Saccharomyces cerevisiae S288C: one gene and its partner. The gene in region 1 interacts genetically with each later gene. Each region holds a gene or a part of one and is shown on either strand. Other genes may lie near its edges.

Region 1 (4,552 bases):
TCGTATAGCATCATTATAGACATTATTTTGGTAAGGCGTTGTGTTCCTATTGCCTCTTCGACGAGCTCTATGAAGAGAATTCTCTAATGGCGAAGGCCTGATACCCTTAATGGAAAACGAATCAATCCATCTATTGGTTGGGGAAGCATTATCACCGCCGTAGTACAGAATCCAGATTAAATTTATGATGGAAAGTAAGATGACACCTGCTGAAGCAGCAGCTTTCTTGGGACCATCCGCATACACTAAATTCGTTGCACTGTTTGTATTATACACAAATGCCACTGCAATAGATGTGGTGATGAAGATTCTGTAATGATCGACTAAATCAAAACAATAGAACAGCATTAAAGAACAAATAATTAGAAATTGGTATACTATACCCCACCAAGTAAAACGTGGGAAGGATTCATTGGTGGATGCAGATGAGATGGAGCCCCCGATGGCGATGACCCACGATACAATTGCCAAAGAAATTGATGATATAGCGAAAGGATCGGCATAAAATTTTTTCATTTTAAAAGAATGGTCGGTAGCCATACGTGAAGGTTTACGAGGAGTTGGTCTTATCTTTGATGATATTGACATATTTTGAAAACGTGATTTTTGGTGTTTCTGAAAAGATGGCGTTGATCTATAATGTCCAATGTTGTTTTCAAATTATTGGGTTGGCTACTGTTAATAACACGCCCTTTCTTTTAGCGATTCTGTTGAGCAAAGAAAGCTGATATGATAGACAATGATACCTCACTGAAAACGAGGCTCAATGACTTTATTCGTGTTCCTGTGTTCTTTGCATATTTCAGCAATCGCTGAAATTTTTATAATACGTATGAAGCAAAAGCCCGACTCCGAAAGCTGTTGTGTGTAAATAGATTGAACGCGTTGGGAATGTAAAACGCGATTAAGAATTTCTGATTTAACGCAGGTGCTAGGTTATTAATAGTTTCTTACGCGGATATGTAGGTTCAAGGGTCTATGTACGTATGGAGGAATAGCAAAAAAAGAATGAGTATACTCTTGCTTATTTAGTTTAGCTTCAAAGCTGCGGTCAGGCAGGTGATCATGATTATTAGCCCCCAGATAAACAAGAGAAGACCTGTGTATTTGAAAATCTTTGTCGTCAATGGCACGGCTGTCTTGTGCTCAGTTCCTATAAGCTTGTAGCCAAAGAGCCCGGGCAGAATGAAAGAAATAGAAGTGGAGCCTGTGGCCCCAACAATGGCCAGTACACGGGCCAAGGAGGAAACCGAAATGGCGACAAGATATGATGCAACTAAAATGCTGCACGTTATAACAATAAAGCTCTTGCCTCTCAATGGAGTCTCCTTAGGCTGATAAATAGATTCTTCTTCAATTACCTCATTGAGGTCAAGGCTACTGTCGCGAATCAACGGAGAACTTTCGGTAGCAACAGTGGGTTCATCCGCCGATGTAGCACTTATACTTACATTTTCCTCGGCGAAGTGTTGCAAAATCTGATGGATTGAAGCTCTTGCAGGATGACACTGTAGTGGGAACGCCAGCATCACCAACAACACAATCGCTATTCTGCCGATGGTGCTCGAGACCGCTTGCGGGTACAGCATGATAATGTTTCCAATGATGTTGTCGCCGAATGTCAGGTATCCAGCACAGCCGATCGCAATATATAAGATGAGAGCCAAAGATATTGCTATCAGTGGAATCTTCATCACATGCTCGAACCGGCTTGACCTCTGCTCATTGATTATTGAAAACATATTGTGGTGACATGTGTAGGCAAAGACAAAAATTGGAAGAGTGTTTAGCACGTTCAAATCATGCGATTGTGGTGGCAGGAGGTAGGAGATCCGGCCTTTCAAGCGAAGAATCTCATCTGATGGTGCTACATAGTGCAACAACACCAAAACACACAAGTACGCTACAGAAGAGATGGCCACCATGGAAGCGTACCTCAACGAATTCAACTTCTTCAGAAAAGACAGCGGGGCCACGAAAAAAAGCATGATCAGTGAAATTTGCACGTTCCTGTTCAACAGCCAAGCATTTCTGGTCCACACAGACATTATTTGGGGCATCAGATCCCCAACTACAATCATATAAGAGACGCCCACACCAAAACACTTGATAGCGATCGCTAGGTCAAACACAATACCTAGATTTGGGTTAATCAACCGCGTCAGAGCACTGAACGAGGCCCTCCCCTGTGGTACGTATTTAGCTACACGAGCTTGTATGAACAAGCTTTGCATAGCGCACGCCCCACACAGCACTATCATTATCACTCCAGGAATTAATCCAAACGGCTTGAATGCGTACGGCATGGCCAGGATACCAGCACCGCACGCCGTGTGTAAAAGTGTCAGCACACCTGATCTAATACTAGCTACCATATGATGCACGATTCCTTTCTATGGTTATTGAGCTGTGAAACTAACCCGTCGTTCGACCATTGTTGTTCTATATACTTCTAGTTGCTGTATAGATAAGCTCTCCGATCCCCTAAACGTGCGTGGTGATCTTACTCTTTCGCCCTCGCTTTTTTTTTTTCGCTTGTTGTTTTCGCAAGGTGAATAGAATGGTTTTAGTAGCAAAGTGCATTGTTTATTGTGTGGTGTGGTTTGACGCACATTCTGTGTTAATAGTGTAGCAGAAGGGTATTCTACAATCTCCGCGAACCTAAGTATGTCTGCTGTTGAAATTTCCCCTGACGTGTTGGTGTATAAGTCTCCATTAACGGAGCAATCGACAGAATACGCTAGTATTTCCAACAATTCAGACCAAACCATTGCATTTAAGGTCAAGACCACAGCCCCAAAGTTTTACTGCGTGAGACCAAACGCCGCAGTTGTTGCTCCAGGTGAAACAATCCAGGTTCAAGTTATCTTCCTGGGTTTGACTGAAGAGCCTGCCGCAGACTTTAAGTGCCGTGACAAGTTCCTGGTTATCACGTTGCCTTCTCCTTACGACCTCAATGGCAAGGCTGTTGCAGATGTTTGGTCCGACTTGGAGGCTGAGTTCAAGCAACAGGCTATCTCTAAAAAGATAAAAGTCAAATATTTGATAAGTCCAGATGTACACCCAGCACAGAACCAAAATATACAGGAAAACAAGGAAACTGTTGAACCAGTAGTCCAAGACAGTGAGCCAAAGGAAGTGCCTGCTGTGGTAAACGAAAAGGAGGTCCCTGCTGAACCGGAAACTCAACCTCCCGTCCAAGTAAAGAAAGAAGAGGTCCCACCTGTCGTTCAGAAAACCGTTCCTCATGAAAATGAGAAGCAAACGTCCAACAGCACTCCGGCCCCACAGAACCAGATAAAGGAAGCCGCAACCGTACCTGCAGAAAATGAATCATCCAGCATGGGTATATTCATATTGGTTGCACTCCTTATCTTGGTTTTAGGATGGTTCTACAGATAATAGGGAGATTGAGGATATAGCTGTATTCTAAATATATATTTATATATGTGTGTGTTTTGCCCTTTCCTTCCTTTCAGTCTTTATTTTACTTTGTTTTTCTACAATCTTTTTTTATTGTTTCCTTCTGTAGCCTTTACAATACTAGAACAAGGAACTAAAAGATCATACTTTCCTAACTTTTTTATATGTTTTATTTTTTAAATAGGAGAATAATCGATAACTATACCACTGTTGTAACATATTACTTGTTTAATTTATTCATGTTCGGTTTCCCTAGTGTAGTAGGCGCTATCTTGGGCAAATAACTATCCGTTATTAACCATAACAATGCGGGGTCTACTAAATGAGGGGAGGGTCTTGGATGCACATTAACGAAGATCTTGCGAGGGGGTCGCGCCTAAAAGGTCCATAAATAAATGAATACATAAACAGCCACCTACTTTCAGTTTGTTTTTTGCTAGGTCTCATAGTGAACGAGGGACTCACATATTGACAATATAGTAACATGGGCTTATCGCGCTGGCACGACAAGAATTCAAGGCCAGCAGAGGAAAAGAGCGAAGAAATGCAACAGGATGCGCACTACTACGCCCTTGCGGCAAGTGATAGTTTAAATGCAAGTGTTTCTAACGAATATGGTAATCAAGTAATGAACTCGTTTTGGAAAGTGGGTATAGACTCTCCCTATGTGGACGATGAAGCAATTAGAAACAGAGATGTCGAAAATAACTTACCTTCTTTAAAGCAAAGTGTTTATAATGCTAATGAACCAAATGCTACCTCGTCTGCATTTTCAACCGCTTCATACGCACATGAAACTTTCGATTTTAGAAACCTTAAACTAAGATAAGGGGGGATGAAGAATAAGAATAAACGCACGTACAATGCATATACAACCGTTTCTATGTACCATAAATATAATTATCATATAATGAAAAATGAGAATAAAAAACAATGATAACAATGAAAAAAAAAAAATTCAATTAAAGAGAAAATTAAACTTATTTTCTTAAGTAGTCCCTTAAATAACTACCGAGTTTTTCAGCACCCTGTTCTACAACGTCTCTCAACATCTGCAATTCATCATCTGCGGAGGCATTAAAATCGATGAAACCGTTATTAGAATTACGGCCATCAAAATTCCCTGCTC
Region 2 (3,483 bases), on another chromosome or scaffold:
TTATTCACTTTTCTAAGAGGGAAAGAATAATAATCCAAGGATGAAGATCATCTTAAGTACCTCTTATCGTTGTGATAAGAGAAGAAAAAGGGTTCTTGGAAATTAGCAAAACAGAAAAAAAAAAACCGAAATAAAATTATCTAGAATAATCTGCATCGGCTTCAGGTTAAAATCTACCACGTAATAAAAGTAGTATTTCAGGGAAATGTTATATATTTATATATTTATGTGTCTACATATTAGAGTATGAGTTAAAATGTTCATTGTATTTATTAGAAAATAGTGGTGAGCGTAAGGGATTTTCACTATGAACGTGCAAGGGACTAATGCAAATAATAACAAAAAAAGAAACTAACCAAATGTAAAAATGGTTCAGGAATGGCACTTAAAACAGATATCATCTATCACTTAGTTATAAGTCAGTTGGTATTTCACCTTCCTTTTTGTCTTCGCGTATTTGGCAAAGCTGGTAATGCGGCTCTTTTGACAATGCATCAGCTTCAACTACCAGAACCTATTAATTCTGTAGCGTATACCAAAATAGTACAGAAAATGTTGCACCAGTTCCAAAATCCCCATGAATCTACTATAATTTCTGGTTGATCTACGCCAAACCACTTTTCACTGCAACCCCATATGCACAGGTCTTTCTTTAGCTCACCTGAATATTGTAAAATCAGGTGAGTATACATAGCAATTAATATGCAAGGACTGTACCAATACAATCCCTTCATGATCCTGCGACTCTTGCGCAACTGTTTGTCATTTTTTCTTTGTAATGCTGGAATAATCCTCGTTGCCGAGTAAAACATCAGAACTCTAAAGCATAAATTGATTACTATAGCTGGGGAAACTGATTCGCTTGCCATCTTAATTGTAACTTGACAAAATTCATTAATGGATAGCGGAACACTAAAGGTGAAATTCTTGAAAAATTTCCAAAATGGTTTAGATATCAAGGATACTTTTTCGAATGATAGAATGCTAATGAGTTTATCATGAAAATCACCGGTTTTCTTTCTTCCTCTAGGAATAAAGGACCCCCATAACACCTCTGCATTTTTCAATATGACATTATGAAAGTAGCACAAAAGATTGTCAGCTGTGGGCAGATTTCTTTGATGTTTCTGCCAGACGTCTTTGAACAAATTTAAAATTTCATCAGTCGCGGTAGTAGCTAATTTGGGGGAAATTTCATAAATACAACGAACAATATACGCAAAAAATAAAGAGCTCTCTATGACGGATCCTTTTTGACTCACAATACCATACAACCCCAGTCCACATACCATAGACAAAACAAGTCCTAATAAGGACGCCGTTTGGATGGATAACGGCCATATGGGGGTGACATAAATCCGATACAAATAGTACAGCGATGCGGTAATCACACCTCCGGAGGTTAACAATGAGGAAATAATCCACGTGTTTGAATTCAAGTCATTTGATAACCATCTATTAGTTTCCCCGACGGCCTGAATGGCTAAAATAGTGAAAAAACCTTCCGATAGAGTAAAAAAAGGTGTGGACTTGGTAAGCACGAATTGCCACGGTTGTACAACAAATCGATAGTAGTAATAATATAAGACGTAGTTAATTTGATTGGAATTCAAGCTATTTTTCAAAGCTTCCAGGAACGACTCCGACTCATTATATTTATTTTTCAGAACGTTTCCCAACTCATCATTAGAAAATCCAGACAAAAACAGGTATAGCAAAGATGCAATGATAAAATGTTGTGAGTAATACAGACAGTTGGTAAAAAAAATGTATAGTCTTCCTCCATGTCGTCTTGCCAACACGTTAAGAGTCGTAGTTATGAAATATAAAGTGAACAGTGTCACCGTGAAGGAAAGCCCGCATTCCAAACCACCAACTTTAAACGAGATTGGAATTGAAAGTAGTGTGAATAACAGATAGAAACATGCTGCGCAGATTCGTCCACTCTGCATGAAGCTTTTGGACAAACTGGTCATCGTTGCCTAATCTTTAGCGTGATCGGCCACAAACAGCACCTCTCTAATAGATCTAAGCAATTACGCGATGGGCTGAGGGGAGCAAAACGGAAAAAGAAGCTTCACGAATACTATAAGATCCACCAACACTTTACGCACAGCCCTTCCAGTATCACTACACCTCGATCCTTTACCTATGTTCATCTTCTCATCAATCATCTCTCCGAAACCAGTAACCGCTCCAGTCCCTTGCTTCGCTTCAAGCTGATGCGATTCCTCGTGTACCATGATCTGAAAAATTTTTCCTTCGCAATACTACTATAATTTAGCTCATCGCATATTTTGCAATAATATAATACAGGGAATAAACTGCATTGGTTCAGTGAGACGGTGGTATAATTGCGAAGTGACCAAATTGTAATGAGTGACAGTTCTGTGAGGGAAAAGAATGATAATTTCCGTGGCTATCGGAAAAGAGGAAGACAAGAACTGAGGAAGATTAAAAGATCTTCTGCCAGAACTGAAGGCGGAAGCACAGAAACATTAGAGGACGTAGCAGAAGATATTGACCATAGATCCGATGAGGATGAAGTGTCCGATGTCGACAGTGGCGATGATTTCGATATTGAGGATGAAGAGGGTAAAAAGGAAAAAGTTTATGACGCTTTATTGACGATTCTCAAATCTGAACATCCAGAGCCAAAAAGAAGAAGGCGAGAGGCTGACGAGAGTAACAAAGCTCCTGCCGAAGTTGGGGAGGATGAGCACGAAAATACAGAACATGGACCAGTGGATGATCAATTGGAGATAGAGAATGGCCTTTTGGGTAATCACGAGGATGATAACGACGATGACAGCAGTGGAGACGAAAAAGATATAGACAGTGAAGATGAGCAAGATCCTTTCGAGTCTCATTTCAACCAAGTTCCGGAGAAATTCGTTGATAAGTTGTCGAATGCTTTCAAGACCAAAAGTGTAAAATACAAATCCGTAAAGGGCTCACTAAGTGACAGTGAATCATATATATATGCTAAACCGGTAGTAATTGGTGAGGAAGCATTGGTGGAAAGTCCGTACAGGTCATCATCTATATATTCATACTTTTTGAAACAAAGGCTAAAAGTGCAAAATGGACTATTGGATAAAAAAACTGATCCATTGACTGCTTTGCAAAAAAAATTAGTAGACCCCATGTTTCAGTATAAAGACATATTATACGAGTATGACTCCTACGAAAAGGACGAAGACGAGTACAGAGATTTATATGCTTTGCATGTTTTGAATCACATCTACAAGACAAGAGATAGAATCTTGAAAAATAATCAAAGATTACAGGATAACCCAGACACTGAACACCTAGATCAAGGTTTTACAAGACCAAAAGTGTTAATTGTAGTCCCTACTAGAGAGGTGGCGTACCGCGTTGTAGATAAGATAATTTCAAAATCTGGTATAGATCAGGTTGACAAGAAGGGAAAGTTCTACGACCAATTCCGTGACGACTCCTTACCTCCAAAGTCCAAACCAA

The links. A genetic interaction does not mean that the proteins touch.
Region 2: mutations in SCS2 (region 1) and ICE2 together harm fitness more than expected from each alone (negative genetic interaction), as found in Saccharomyces cerevisiae (6 studies listed by BioGRID, with this or other methods).

Annotation. Positions count from the first base shown.
Region 1 is NC_001137.3:398,468-403,019, forward strand, and holds SCS2 (phosphatidylinositol-binding protein SCS2), read left to right. Parts: upstream 1-2,667; coding exon 2,668-3,402; downstream 3,403-4,552. Other genes in the region: osmosensor SHO1, read right to left, coding at 1-588; AVT6 (aspartate/glutamate transporter), read right to left, coding at 1,029-2,375; YER121W (uncharacterized protein), read left to right, coding at 3,908-4,252; GLO3 (ADP-ribosylation factor GTPase-activating protein), read right to left, coding at 4,404-4,552. UniProt on the Saccharomyces cerevisiae protein: Acts as an endoplasmic reticulum (ER) membrane anchor for cytoplasmic proteins via binding to the FFAT motif of targeted proteins. Regulates phospholipid biosynthesis by modulating the subcellular localization of the transcriptional repressor OPI1.
Region 2 is NC_001141.2:192,088-195,570, reverse strand, and holds ICE2 (Ice2p), read right to left. Parts: upstream 1,977-3,483; coding exon 501-1,976; downstream 1-500. Other genes in the region: rRNA-binding ribosome biosynthesis protein UTP25, read left to right, coding at 2,376-3,483.